2 linked regions of the Astyanax mexicanus genome follow. The protein of the gene in region 1 interacts with the protein of each later gene in a pairwise test. Links are inferred from orthologs where the notes say so. Each region holds a gene or a part of one and is shown in the gene's direction. Other genes may lie near its edges.

Region 1 (3,756 bases):
AGTAAGGGTACAGACTGAGAAAAATCATAACAATTGAGGTGACCAGTTATATAAACTATGCTTGTGCTAGTTAATGAACCGTGTACTTATTACATGTGCAGTACAATGCTAGCTAATTGCCTCAAAGTGTATATCCCAAAGCATGAGCTACTCACCTTATTACCACGTAGCCATGTAGCCAGTCTTAAAAACAAGTACTAAAGAAATAAACTCTGTAACTTGACATTGTTCGGATAGCTTTATCTTCGTCTTTTAGCATTTATATTTTTACATACTTTACAAGATTTTTCAGCATAAACATTTTAATATGACATTATAGTCATTAAGATTTTTAGAAAAATGTTTTTTTTTTGGGAGGGGGTTATGCACTATAGTTTCCAGTGGTGTGGCTTAAGCTTTTGTTCTTAATGTTATACTTTAAGCAGTTTTAAAACCAGAACTTTTACAATTCTTTCATAATTCAGCTTCCAAAATTCAGCTTTAAACCCTAGTATCTATACTTATAGCTGCATAATGAATTGTGACACCTTTGGCACTTACTACATGTCCAGTACCGTGTTAAAGTGTGTGTTTACTACATGTCCAGTACCATGTTAATGAAGTGTGTACTTACTACATGTCCAGTACCGTGTTAATGAAGTGTGTACTTACTACATGTCCAGTATCGTGTTAATGAAGTGTGTACTTACTACATGTCCAGTATCGTGTTAAAGTGTCTTTACTACATGTCCAGTACCATGTTAATGAAGTGTGTACTTACTACATGTCCAGTAACGTGTTAATAAAGTGTACTTACTACATGTCCAGTACCGTGTTAATGAAGTGTGTAAGTTACTTACTACATGTCCAGTACCATTACCGTGTTAATGGAGTGTGTATTTATGACCATATAGCCATGTAACCAATCTAATAAACAAACGCTAAGCTAATAAAGTGTGTTTCTCAAATTCGCTATGTACCTCAGCATTGTGGAAATAAGGTTCGAGTGGCTTTATGAGGCCATATGGCAATACTACAAGTTCACCTGCCAGTTCAGCTGCATTTATCTTTTAATGAATCTCTATAAAATAAGAAAAGGAGCATAATGAAAAATAAATAGTCTCAAACAGTCTAAAATAGGTCGTGTTTGTTATTTTTCCCAGCAGTAGAAACACGTCGCACACACAGGCTTTTGTGAATTGGCGTGGATAGTGAAAAGAGTCGCCTAAATTTAGTAAAGAAAAACTACCACCAATCAGCAGCGCAGGCACTGGACTTCGTGTTGACCCGGCCTCCGGCATCTCCACCAATGAGGAAGGACTTAGTTTTAGATGGATACGTGCCCTGACCAATGAAAAGGTTTAGTCTCCAGTGAGGGCGGGCTTTCCAGTAGTAGGGGTGGGCATTTTGGGGTCATTCACACTCTCGCATTTTCACTCTGACGGCGTGCGTTCGAGGGGACGGGCAACGGGGGTTAAAGGAGTTGCCGGGCGGTAGCAGAGCACAGCGGGTTTGGGGTATTTTTTTTAAGCTGATAGCGCTGCTGTGTGGAAGATTGGAGCCCGTTAGAGTCCAGACTGCTCAACAACACAGATACATGCCGCGTAGCGTAACTACGCTAAGTTCGCTATAAGAGCCCGGTAACTAAGGAAGGAGGTGTTAGCTTTAACCTAGTGATAGAAAGAAAGCTATAGCTAGCTTAGCTAGCTAATTAGCCGCTGACTTAGTTAGTTAGCTAGTTAGTTGAGTTAATATGCTAGCTAAAGCTAGCTAGCTAACACCGCCTCTCCATCACCCTCAGCACCCCAGCACAGCCACAGCAAGGGGGGAGCGTGGCCGGCTACACAGCCGAGTAGAATAACAGCTAGCTAGCTAGCTAGCTAGTTAGCTAACCTAGCTATTGCGATAGCCTGTAACGGTAAAATAGCCTTCTAGCTAACAAGACCGTTAGATTAGTTAGTTAACTAACTGGTTAGTTCGCCAGTTAGCGGTTGTAGAGTTATTAGTTAAAGCAATTGAGGGTGGGTGTCTTTCTGCCCAAACAAACCTTCTGCTGCTCAGCCTCCCCCTCTCTACCCATCATCTCTACCCCCTGCCTCTCCACCCGAAACACTGGAAATCCTCAAGCGGCCGGAGAGCGGCGGAGGGCCGGCGAAGCTGGGGGTGCTTCCCGACTCTCAAAGCGGCGCTGCGCCGGCAAACATGGACGGACTGGCGGTGGAGGTTCGCGGCTCTAACGGGGCCTTCTATAAGGTAAATAGACCGGAACACACTCAGCTAAGCTAGCCAACATGCTGTCCTCAATCAAATGTGTGAGTCTGCAGCTTCATCTGAGACACCTAGGTTAGCTATCTAGCTAACTAGCTACATGCACTTACTTGCACTACTCTAAGCTCTAACCAAGAAGGCCCCTAAATGCATAAATGAATGGCACGAGGTTTGGTTTTACAGTCTTCTAAAGAAGGGCCAAACAAGAAAAACATGATGATAATAACGATGATGATAATTATGATGGTGATGTATCTCAGCAGCTCCTGGCCTGTATCTGCTAACCTATGTGTTATCATTTGTTTCCACTGGTCAGATTTGGCTGGCTAGCTTGCTAACAGCTATCTATCTAGGTTATGTTAGCCATTGTGGGGCACGTTGGTTTGGTTTGGCAGGACTCCTCCCGAATTTATTTTTCTTCTCCTCTCCCTCTTCCTCAGTATCCAAACACTGAAATACTACATGCTAGCTAGTTAGGTTAGTTAACTTGCTAATTTGCTAGCTAACTAACTAACTAGGTGAGGTGGGTACAAAACAAAACCGCCTTCTAACTGTTTCTGCCATGTTACATAGGTCGTCTCAGGACAGAAAGGCTTGTTATTGGATGTTTTTCCTCCAGTTTAATAATAATAAAGCTAGCTTCTAGCAGTCTGAGAGAGTGACCCATCAGCAGTGGTCTCAGGATCACAGAATGTCTGGTCACATGTCAGTTTGCTTTGGGTCAGTCCAGTCTGGTGAAGAAAGTCAGAGAGGTGTTTGTTGTCGTTAGTGGTGTAGTTAGCTTTTTAAGAAAAGAGCTGCGTCAGGTAGCCTAGCTGTTAGCAATGAGGGTTTTGTTTATTTGCTTGTTTTGTACACTGGCTGGTTGTCCTAGTCTAGCACAGTAGGGTGGGCCTAGTTTGAGTCAGAATCAAGTCATTTTAGGTCAGCCAGGCTAAGACTGAAGTGATGAGGTTTGCTCACTTTAAGTAGTAGGCTATGAGTGTCAGTTATGATCTGAAGTGAATATTTTCAGAATGATACCCTCATATATGATGATATCTTTCAGATGTGTCTTTAAGGAGCACACTTAATCCAATGGTTTGGCACTGGCTCTCCATTTCAGGCCTCCTGGAAGCACAGAGATCATACTCATGTGTATCTTTGGACTGGTTATGTCACAGGCTTCGTGTGTGCAGTAGTAGTAATGGTGTGGCACACGTTTTACACCCATGGTTCTCTGAAGGTTTGACTGAGGGAACAGAGCAGGTGGAAGAAGAACAGGTGATATCAGGCCTGACACTCAACACTCTCTGTCTTTCTCTCTCCATCCCCCTCTCACACTACTGCTTGGTGGAATCCCCCCTGTTCACTTGTTTTTAATTCAGTTCCAATCAGTGGAAGTAACTTTTAGCTACACTTAGTTATTTTTGAGCGGCTCATTTTTGCTGCCGATTTCCCCCTCTTTTCTTTCTATCCATCTTTTAACAATTTGTTCTCAATGCTTCACTTTACTTTTCTTTCTGACTT
Region 2 (3,756 bases), on another chromosome or scaffold:
AAATAAAAGGTTATCATCAAATCTAAATAGAATGAATTCTTTTTTTTTTTAATAAGTGAAAATAATGAATTCTTAAACAACAAAACAGTTTAAAAGTTCCAGATAAATAATGAAATAAGTATCTACGACATTTGGACAAAAAGCATTAAAAGAAAAAAATAAATATCAAAAATATTAATACCAATAGTGTTAAATATAAAAAATGTATAGGATATAAGTAGAAGTATCCACAACTGTAGTCATTCTAAAAACTTGTATCTCCACATTTAATAAGAAAAGTCTATAGTGCCTTGAAAAAATATTCAATATTCATTGCACTTTTCTACATTTATCCCAAAATCTTAATAAAATACATTTGTGTAATAGACCAACACAACGTGGCAGTAATTGTAAAGTGAAAATAAACTTCTACATATTTAAAAAAAAAAAAAGAAATAAAAATAATAGACCACTTAAAAACGATGAGTTTCTTTGATTTTACCAAATTGAAAACCTCTAGAATATGTGTTCAGTCGGTGTTCTGTGCAACCCTACTGTATATTTGAGGGTAAGATACACAACATTAAAAGTATGCACCCAGCAGAAGTCTGTGTATTATTTTGGATAAAGTAAATCACTGTATCAGGGAAAAGTTATGGTAATAATAGGTCATTAGAAAATTATTATTTTTTAATAAATATTTCTTTTGTTAATTTACATTTTTGTTTACACATTTGTGTAGTGTAAAGACAGTGGATCCGGGTTGTTTAATGCTTAAAAACTAAATAACATGATAATCATAAAAACATGAAAATTAAATATTAAAAATGTAGTTAATCACATTGGCTGTAGGAAGCACGTATCGGCGGGTAGCGTAACTCGGCAGAACACCGGTATCAGACAGGGGGCCTGTAGGAGTGTGTGGCTGTGGATCAGCTATAGCAGACTGTAAACAGAGCCCGGGTTTTGATTTATTCTCTTTATTTACAGGATTTAGACTTTATTAAAACACACAGGAGAAGCGGATTAAGGAAAGGAGTTTTTTTGTGGAAATGGCGCCGACGATTCAGACTCAAGCGCAGCGGGAGGACGGACACCGGTAAGCGGCTACAGCATTGACCGGGAGCCCGCTGGATAGCTAACCTAGCTTACAAGCTAACGCTAATGCTAGCTAACTAACTAGTTAACCTAGCAAAGCTAAGCTAAGCTAACTCAAAGGCTAAAAAGCATTTTCACTAACGGGCTTTATTTAGTTTGACCGGTTACAAAATAAACCATTATTTTAAGATACTTAATCTCACAAGTTTAATAAATATGACGCTGTTTTACATATTTGCCTTTATTTACCCTGAATAAGGATCTGTAAACTCGTAGCTGGCATGTTGGCTAAAGCTATGCTAACCAAAATAGCTAACACGCATTAACATTAAGTTAGCATGTTAGCAAAGGTCTTTTTCTATCAGTGACAATTCTAATCAAATTAATCAACTTAGCTTAAGTAAATATAATTTTTATTAGTTTCAGATACAGAATCATTGTTTTGAGTCATTATTTTGATGTGTTAAGTTGTTATTGTGAGATAAGTAACGTTATTTTGAGATAGTAACGTTAAATGTTATTTTGAGATAATAAGTGGTTATTTTTAGATAGTAACCCTAAGTTATTATATTTTGAGCTACTAAGTTGTTTTTTGAGGCATTAGTTATGTTGAGTTAGTAAGTCGCTATGTTGAGTTAGTAAATCGCTATGTTGAGTTAGTAAGTCGCTATGTTGAGTTAGTAAGTCGCTATGTTGAGTTAGTAAGTCGCTATGTTGAGTTAGTAAGTCGCTATGTTGAGTTAGTAAGTCGCTATGTTGAGTTAGTAAGTGTTTATTTTGAGGTAGTAAGTGTTTATTTTGAGGTAGTAAGTGTTTATTTTGAGGTAGTAAGTAGTTATTTTGAGGTAGTAAGTCGTTATTTTAAGATAGAAAGTGGTTAGTTTAAGGTAGTTATTGGTTATTTTGAGGTAGTAAGTCGTTATTTTAAGATAGTAAGTGGTTAGTTTGAGGTAGTAAGTCGTTATTTTAAGATTTTAACTTATTTAGAGATACTAAGTCATTATTATGAGGTCTTAAGTTGTTGTTTTGAGGAATTAACTTAATTATGTTGCGATTGCCCATACCATCTAGAATATTACACAATTGGCAAACGTTTTTTTTTTTTTTTTTTTTTTTTTTTTATATATATATATATATATATATTTTTATATATATATATATATATATATATATATATATATATATATATATATATATATATATATATAAATAAATAAATAAATATAAAATGTCTCAAATTATTTTTCAGTATTTTGACATGCGTCAGTGCATCCTGAAAATAAGTAATTCCTCTTGCCTTAAAGATTTTGCACTTTTTTTCTTTTTTGGAGGGACTGAGACGATAGAACGATAGAACGATAGAACGATAGAACGATAGATAGATAGATAGATAGATAGATAGATAGATAGATAGATAGATAGATAGATAGATGATTGTCGAGTGAAAATTCTAGACTGATTCAGATCTGAGCATGTGTAGTATACATAGAATTTCAAGCTTCAGAATAGTTTTTATTTTGTTTTCCTGACACTTGTTTGATATTTCTTTCCTTATTACACTGCTGAGTTAACCAGATGCTTATTCAGAGGTTCTTTTTCTTTTTACAGGAGCTCTGCACACAGAGCCATTCCAGAAAGGTACTGTATCACTTGTATCCCTTCACCTTCTGTGGACTGTTTTAGACTTTAACTTGAGATTGGATTAATTGTGGTTTTTGTAACAGTTTAATGAATTATTTTTCTTTATACGCATTGTTTGTGTTTTCTTCTTCCTTTTTTACTTCTTTAGGTCCGGAGTCGTGTGCCGCGTCAAATACTGCAACAGTCTCCCCGATATCCCATTTGACCCAAAATTCATCACATACCCCTTTGACCAGCACAGGTACTGAAATGTCTTTTTATTTTTTAACACTTGATAGTTAAAGGTTTATTTTCTCAATGTTAATGTTAAAGTTAAATTTATGGCACTCTCCACTAGAAATGCATAAAGGCATTTAGTAAATTCTCTTTATTAATCATGGTGGTGTTTTGGGCGTCATGTGAAATAAACCAATTAGCATGTCACTTGTCATTCTCTTTAAGAGCCAGGTGCACTCTGACCTTTTTTTAAATGCTAGCTAGTATTTCCCTGTATTTTTGGGAAGAGGACAAATATTGTCCAGTGTGCTGTGCCTGGCACAGTGTTTTACTGTATAATAGTCTTTTTTTTAGCAGATTTAAGGCTTTTTCAGCTGAGAGTTTTAATGGAAGAAATAGATGCTAGTCTAGCTCCATATTCCACACTCAACAACCTGAAAAGAGGAGTGTGTGGGTATATATCTGTAAGACAGCCCACATTGCTCAAAACTAAAATAATTTACAAATATTTATTGTAATCCTGTTTGAACTGTGTGAATAAGTGACTCTGGTTTGTCTTGGTGCAGGTTTGTGCAGTATAAAGCCACTTCACTGGAAAAACAGCACAGACATGAGCTGCTTACAGAGCCAGACCTGGGAGTCACCATCGATCTCATCAACCCAGACACATACCGCATAGACCCCAACAGTAAGTGCTTAATACATACAACATGGAGCACACTGTCTTTTCCTACAGAAGAAATCCGGGATGAAGTAGACTTGGGTTGTAGTGAAACCTAAAAACAATGACAAACTTTTATTCAAATAGCCCACCTCTGTTTA

The links.
Region 2: the proteins of fxr2 (region 1) and paf1 interact in binary tests that used the Homo sapiens proteins (3 or more experiments, as listed by UniProt). The two-hybrid records come from large-scale screens. The link is inferred for Astyanax mexicanus from reciprocal best matches to the Homo sapiens genes FXR2 and PAF1.

The regions. Positions count from the first base shown.
Region 1 is NC_064415.1:16,171,767-16,175,522, forward strand, and holds the start of fxr2 (fragile X mental retardation syndrome-related protein 2), read left to right. Parts: upstream 1-1,402; 5' UTR 1,403-2,181; coding exon 2,182-2,232; intron 2,233-3,756. UniProt on the Homo sapiens protein: mRNA-binding protein that acts as a regulator of mRNAs translation and/or stability, and which is required for adult hippocampal neurogenesis. Specifically binds to AU-rich elements (AREs) in the 3'-UTR of target mRNAs.
Region 2 is NC_064425.1:7,496,971-7,500,726, forward strand, and holds the start of paf1 (RNA polymerase II-associated factor 1 homolog), read left to right. Parts: upstream 1-848; 5' UTR 849-1,031; coding exon 1,032-1,078; intron 1,079-2,685; coding exon 2,686-2,715; intron 2,716-2,866; coding exon 2,867-2,959; intron 2,960-3,500; coding exon 3,501-3,622; intron 3,623-3,756. UniProt on the Homo sapiens protein: Component of the PAF1 complex (PAF1C) which has multiple functions during transcription by RNA polymerase II and is implicated in regulation of development and maintenance of embryonic stem cell pluripotency.